Schizosaccharomyces pombe: one gene and its partner. Changing the gene in region 2 together with the main gene of any one other region gives a genetic interaction. Each region holds a gene or a part of one and is shown on either strand. Other genes may lie near its edges.

Region 1 (3,745 bases), on a different chromosome or scaffold from region 2:
GGAAAATGGAATGAATAAATAAATAGAATTGACGACAATTTTAGTAGTGAAAGCGGTTAGAAGGGAGGAAAAGGATTAGAAAGAAAAAGTAGAAAGCGTATTATGAAGTATTATTTTGAAGATTGAAGAATGCATTTTCTAAGTTGCTTGAGTTTACTTTATTAGGGATTGTATTGCACTTGCACTTGGGATCAGGAGTAGGATTGGCATTAGGATTAGAATAGGATTTGGGATTCCTCTTTGATCAAAAATAAATAAAAAATAAAAAATTAGAAAACTTCTAGTGCTCTCGCCAGAACTAGAACTTTTTCATGCAACGGAACGAGATGAACGGAGAAATGCGGAACCAAGATGAAGCAAGACAACAAGTCGATTAACAATGAAAGAAAAAAATATCAATATAGTCGGAAAACAAAAAGATGATTGATTAATAAGGAAAGTATGAGAAGGAGGCGGTAATTTTGCAAGCGTTTCAATTGCAATGATATTACAAATTCAAAGTAATAAAATGATAAACATACATAAACAAAAATAAACATAAATTAAAAAATAAAAAAATAAAAAATCGAAAACCAAAAAAAAAAAAATTTATTAAAAAAAAAAAAAAAAGACAAGAACAAACAAACAAGCAGATAGGGAAGTGGAAAATTACAAATAAAATTTAAAAAAACAGGGGAAGAAAAGTCAAATCAAGGTAGAGATGAATGATTCATCATGTTAGCGTTTGACAAATTAAAGATCAAAGAATTTATTAGAGATGATAAACAAGGGCAGAGCTGATTAGATGAAAGAACGATGGAGAGAAAAGAGAGAGGAGAGAAGATTAAAGAGAGAGAAAAGAAAAAAAAAAGAAAGAAATTAAAAAAAAAAAAAAAAAAAAAAAAAAAAAAAGGAAAATTAAATGAATATCCTCTTTTTTGCATGTCTCTTTCTCTTCTCTCTCTCTTCCTTCTTTTCTCCCTCCTTCTCTCTCTCCCTGCCTTCCTTTCACATACGAATATTAAACTACTTCCATGTATCCGAACGGGATCGTCGCAGGACACTATGGATAGGCCGGACGAAACAAAAGAAAAGGAAAAAGAAGAAAAACAACCGTCATAACAAGGATGAGGAGCCGATCGAACGACAAAACATTATCAAAGCGATTCCAGAGATTCCTTTAATAGCAATTTATCAACTAGCACAAATCATAGTTGCACATAACATATATCAACTAAGCACACAACATATTCCATACTAGCTAGCATATCATATATTATACTACCACATACCCTACCCTACCCTACCCTACCTCCTGCGAAACCAAGCCATATCAATAATGCCTTTTGCCTTTGACTTTGAAACGTCAAAAACAATGGAAAATTGAAATTTTTTTTTTCTGTTTTTTTGAATGAATGAATGAATAAACTGTTGAAGTATATTTTCATAGCATCTCTTTTTTTATTTTTTATTTTTTTTATTTTTCATCTTTCTATTTCCATTTCCATTTCTATTTCTACTTCTACTTGTTTTCTTCTTTCTCTCCTTTCTACTGTCTTTTTTCTCTCTCTTTAATCTTCTCTCCTCTCTCTCTACTTTTGTCTTTGTCATTGTCATTGCCTTGTTGCTCGCCCGCCGAAACAGCTCTTGTCACCTTTACACCACCCTTACATCGTTACCCATTCTAAACTCTGTTCGGTTGATTTCGGTTACAGAGTCGTCCGATTGGTTAAGGAATTTGTTCTTTTATCGTTAAATACCCTTATCTCGTTACCTATTGCCCACTAAAGCTTTAAGTTAATCTCTTTACATAATCATTGCTCGCCTTTGGTCCAATCATTGCGTCGGATATAGATCTCTGCTTATCTCGATCGTTACTTTGAACCAATCATTAAAAATATTGCTGTCCAATTGCGTCCTTGCATTTTTGCCGTTATCAAACTTGATAACCACCAGATTTTAGGGATGCTTAGAATCTGCGCGCATATAAAACCGCCGACTCTCTCCCCTACCGTACGGTTGAGACGCGGATAACCAACGTTGGCCTATTTCACCCTGCACCTTAAATCTAACGATATTCCAACCTTAGAGCATATCTTGACGCCTGACTTGCAGTGCATCTCTTTAACTTGAATTTTACGCATTTCTTGCTCTTGTGCGTGCATATTTGCTAGCTAGGTAGTTTACAAATTCAAATTTCTCTATATTTGTTTTTGTTTTATTCTTTCATTCATACTTCCAGTCTGTTGGATTCGCTGGTTCAATTTTTGTTCTCGTTGTTGATACGTGCATTTACATTTACATCTGCTTCTGCTTTAGCGTGCATTTGTTTATTTTATCGTCATCGGTTTTTGGGTGGTTGATACAGTTTTCTTTTTTTTGTTTTGTAATAGAAGAAAGAAAAAAATTTGAAAAACAAAAATAATTCAAAGTTCAAAGGAAAAGAAGAATAATTTAATTCCTTTTTTTTTTCTCTTTATTAATTTTACTTATTTTCTCGAAATTTGATTTTTCTTCTTTTCGAGTGTTTTTCTTCTTCTTTTCTCCCCAATATTCAAATATCGATCCCCTAATTTCTTCTTGGTCGTTCGATATATATATAATTTGTTGTGTTTTCTTTTTATCGTTTGGGTCCTTGATTTCCTAGGTGTTTTTTTTTTTTTGTCTCTATAGAAAAATTCCTTCCATTTATACATACCTTATTAGTCTCGATACTATTTTATTTTACTTTTACTTTTCTTCTTTTCGCCAACAAACCTCTTTTGTTTGTAATTTTTTTAATCCCCTTTATTTTGGGTTGTGTTGGTCTCTCTTCATTTCTTAATAGATAGACAAGACTTCTTGAATCATGTCTTCCACTACCGATGCCACTCCCACCCCTTCGGGTGTCAATGGCGGTGATTCCATGACCGTCAATCTTAATCAATTTTACAATAATGGTGATGTTGCCTGGATTCTCACAAGTACCGCTTTGGTGTTTATCATGATTCCCGGTGTCGGTTTCTTTTACTCCGGCTTGGCTCGTCGTAGAAGTGCCATTTCTATGCTGTTTTTGTCAATGATGTCTGTCGCCATTGTTGCCTTTCAGTGGTTCTTTTGGGGTTATTCGCTTACTTTCTCTCACGAGGGTGGTCCATACATCGGATCCCTCGCCAATTTCGGTCTTCGCCAAACGTTGGGTAGACCTTCTTCCGGTGCTTCCAGTGTACCCGACATCTTGTTTTGCGTGTTCCAAGGTATGTTTGCCGCCATTACTCCCGCTTTGGCTATCGGTGCTGCCGCTGATCGCGGTCGCATGTTTCCCTGTATGGTCTTCATGTTTCTCTGGACTTCCATCGTCTACGACCCAATCGCCTTTTGGACTTGGAATCCTAATGGTTGGTTGAACAAGTTGGGCTCTTACGATTTCGCTGGTGGCTCTCCCGTTCACATCTCCTCCGGTATGGCTGCTTTGGCTTATTCCATCGTAATTGGAAAGCGTTGTGACCATGGTACTACCAAATATCGCCCACACAACGTTCCCCACGTCGTTCTTGGCACCGTATTTTTGTGGTTTGGTTGGTTCGGCTTTAACGGTGGTTCTTCCGCTGCTGCCAACATGCGTGGTGTCATGGCTGTCGTCGTTACACATCTTGCTGCTTCTGTTGGTGGTATTGTTTGGTGTGTTATCGATTTTGCCAAGAACCGTCACTGGTCTGTCGTCGGCTTCTGTGAAGGTGCCGTCGCTGGTTTGGTCGCCATTACTCCTGGCTCCGGTTTCGTTCCT
Region 2 (3,776 bases):
TAGGTGTCATTGTCAACGGTAGAGGAAATAAGGCCGTTGGTAAGAAGTTGTTGAATCATGTCTTCAGTGTAGTAGGTGCGATCAGTGGAAATGTTAGTGAAGTAGTTGTAAGGAACGTTGGGAAGATAGATAACCAAAGGAGGAGTGTCACGGGTAACAGTGTGGTTACCAGCAGTGGTGTTACGACCATCACAACCAAAGAAGACAGGGCGATCGTTGAAGTGAAGACTGACAAAGGATTGTTGGCTAGGAACGTAGGGGAAACCCTTAACATTGGTGTTTCCGGCAGCTTGGGCAGCAACGACACGCTCATAAGTTTGGACAAGAGAGTTACCGTTGGGCCAGAGCCATTCACTGTCATCACCATTGTCAACGGCAACGATAACATCGACATCACGACCCTTTTGCAACAAAGGCCACAAAGGAATCTTCTCACCAGTAAGGAAGGTATCAACTAAGTTAAGGGAAGAGCTGGAACCCAAGTTGTTGGCAGCATCAGAATTAGCACTCTCAACACCTTGGAAGGGGTTGGGAATGGAGATGATTTGTTGACCGTTTTCAGAAAAGTTACCTTTCAAGTATTGTTGGATGATACGACCGTTCTTGGTAGAAGAGTCATTGAAGTTACGCATTATCTTGTTGAAGTAAGTAGAAGAAGCACCCATCATGAAACCAAAGTTGTCATAGTTGATAACGCAAGAACCATTGCTGCTAGCACCATTGTTTAAGGTAGTACCCAAGTATTCGGTAGGAATAAAGGAGTTGATTCCATGGTCAAAGGTACCGAAAACGTTGGGGGAAGCTTCAAAGAAAGTAGTGTTAACATTGCTAATATCCTCACCATAGTTTTGGGTAGCAAAGGTAATGATGGGGTAAGGGAAGTTGGCATTGCGGTACCATTCTTGGGAAGTAATACTAGACAAAGAGACATTAGGGAAACCATAAGTAGTGTCACCAAGGGTACGAGAAATCACACGTCCCCAGTAATCGGAAAGACTGATGTTAAAGCCAGCATTGGCCTTTTCGGCAACTTCATTCATAATAGAACTGTAGAAATGAGCGTTGAAAACAATAGCACTCTTGGGATACATCAAAGGGTGGTTGAAAGCCCAAAGTTTGCTAAAGTCGTTAATGGTACTGAAATTGTTGAGAGCAATGCCACCAACAGTCCAGGCACTACCATCAGTACCAACGAGATAGTCAGAGGCTTGAAGGAGACCAGTCAAAACAGTGTGGTTGTCGTGACGAGCATCCATGGCAGAGAGGGCACCAGAACCCAAAATCATGGCACGTAAACCACCACCGGACAAGGCAATACCGATAGAAGGACCTTCAGAGCCAGAAAGAGTATCGGCATTCAAACCAGGCAAGTTGGCGTTACGAAGGAAGTCCTTCATGGCAGTGTTGGTAATAGTAGAACGAGTGCTCAAGTATTCAGACTCGGCGCTAGGAATCTCATTGCTGGAGAGACTCTCGACAATGTTATCAGAGGGACAGTCCACATAATAAGGAGCGTAACTGGGTCCCTCTTGCTTAGTGCTATGCTTCTTGGCACGCTTGAAGACCTTGACAGAACCATCGTCTTCAGCAGCGGGAAGAGCAAGGGCAGAAAGGCAGGATGCCAAAAAGAGCATCCACAGGCTTAATCCGCGGAAAAGCATTTTGAATATTTAAACTAAAATGTTGAGAATAGATATGCAAAGATGTATGCAAATTAAATCCCCAAATGAACGTTCAAAGTTGGGAGTGGGACGGAAAGGGTATATAAGAAAAAAAATTTAATAAACGTCACACGAGTGTATTACTTTCCGAATGACACCCAATCAAGATCTCGGACTGATACTATTCCGTAAGTCGGAGAGGAAAAAGTGGTAAAGTAACAAAAACCTAGAATTTGCAAATAGTGGACGAAAACACAAACCCCACAATAGATAGAACTAAAGAAGGCAGGAAAACGGGACTAAAAACAAAATGAAAGAACCTGGCAAACGAAGTTTAATGCAAAGGTTCAAAATGAATAAAATCTTTTCCCTAAAGGATAAATAATAAATATTCAAAAGGAAGATGTAGGAAAGTGCTAAAAGTACAACGATTTAAAAAGTCCACGACGACCTTTTTTTGTTTGAGTGAGTAATAAGAAAGAGAAAATTAAAAAGGAATAACGACGAGAAAACCGGAAATCGCACCAAAGGATACACTAGGAAAGAAAAGTGTGATGATGATACGAGAAATTATGATGAAGGAATGAGGGAATCACTGAAAAAAGAAATTAAGCCAAATCACAGTGTTGGATCGTAAAATATGTTTTTGGATTCAACTAATGCGAAAACGCTCTCTAACCGAAAGAGTGTTAGTGTTTTCTTTTTTGGGGTATTTTTCAAAGAGCTAAGAAAAAGGGAGCAATCACAAGAAAGGAAAATGCAAAATTCCTCGCTTGGATGGATTAAGATTTAAATAAAAGTAAGGAAGATGATTAGGGATTCCAAAAAACGGAATTTTTTGTTTTGAAACAATGAACAGATCAAGGAAAGTTGTTTGATTGCGATGGTGGTGAAAATGCCTGTGCACCAGCACCACTTATATACCTGGGACCAGTCGCTCGGAACAAGGTTTCAGTGCATACAGTCTATAATTTTACATGGATTATACAAAGAAAAATAAAATAAATCATTTTATGTATTTTATTTTCAAGTTTTTGATTCTCATTTTTTTGACTTCAACTTGCATCTACCCCACAATCTTGACAGAATCCATGTCTGGGGCCCCGTGAGTACCGGCAACTGACCCTCTAAAAATTAGGAAGCAACTGCAACATTGGTCCAGAGCTGCGACGATGTATCCAAGCAACTGGAGTAATAGTGGGATAGAGTTATCATCAAAATAACGCTGCCCACAAGAAAGGATGGGATGTTTGTCTACTGGCAAAAGGTACACTGGGGAAAAATACAAACACTCTACTCACCGTTTAAACCCTTCTATACTACCGCTGGTCAGACAAGCTTCTAATTTTTTTACGGATTCTGTTGTAAATTGTTAGAATTCTTGTTTTTTCTTCGTTGTTCGTCAGTTTAACCCCGCCAAAACCCAAAAAAAAGTGTTTGAAACACTATTCTAAAGGTGTTCGCCCCTCACCATTCCGGTAAGAAATCAGGCAAGTATCCGCTCAAAAGTTTGGCGGGGAAGAAGGAAAAGAGCCTAAAGTCGGACGAACAAATGCGGGGTGGTGTAGAGGAACGCAGTCTAGAACAATGGAGGAACACATGCGCAGTGCAAAAATGTCTACCGCAAGAGCAAGAAAATTTTCGCACCAATTATTAGTTAAATGAGGAGCATCACATGAAAAAGTGGGACATATCCAATCACCTCTCAGTATTTTGTTCACTTTGCTCCCCTCGTTTTCCCATAGTGTGGAGAACATTCATGAAAACCAAACCTTCCGCCAATCAAATTACGGTTTGAAAAATTCTACGTTTCTATTCGCCGTCATTCGGAACAAGCGAGCTTCCACCTTTTACGTTGACATCATTGAAAAATGGAGATAATGGGGTTAAGGAAAGTGTGGGGCTAACCTTCCAAGTTACCTTTCCCTCCATGACGTGGAGTACATTTAGGCTCGTAAACTAACGTGCGTACGTTGGACTAGCTATGCTGCACGCTATTTGTCAAAAAAGGATTTGCAGCATGCGAGCGAAAGTCAACGAAGACGTGTATGCGAGGAAACCGGTGTGGAACAGTGTTCTAGGACTATACCTGAACAAAATTGTGGGGCAAGTTTA

Evidence for each region.
Region 1: mutations in plb1 (region 2) and amt1 together harm fitness more than expected from each alone (negative genetic interaction), as found in Schizosaccharomyces pombe (one large-scale study listed by BioGRID).

What each region holds. Positions count from the first base shown.
Region 1 is NC_003421.2:2,066,979-2,070,723, forward strand, and holds the start of amt1 (plasma membrane ammonium transmembrane transporter Amt1), read left to right. Parts: upstream 1-2,000; 5' UTR 2,001-2,827; coding exon 2,828-3,745. UniProt on the Schizosaccharomyces pombe protein: Transporter for ammonium to use as a nitrogen source. Under ammonium limitation acts as an ammonium sensor, generating a signal that leads to pseudohyphal growth.
Region 2 is NC_003424.3:1,074,958-1,078,733, forward strand, and holds the start of plb1 (lysophospholipase 1), read right to left. Parts: upstream 1,737-3,776; 5' UTR 1,662-1,736; coding exon 1-1,661. UniProt on the Schizosaccharomyces pombe protein: Catalyzes the release of fatty acids from lysophospholipids. Required for survival under high osmolarity, for normal osmotic stress-induced gene expression, and for nutrient-mediated repression of sexual differentiation.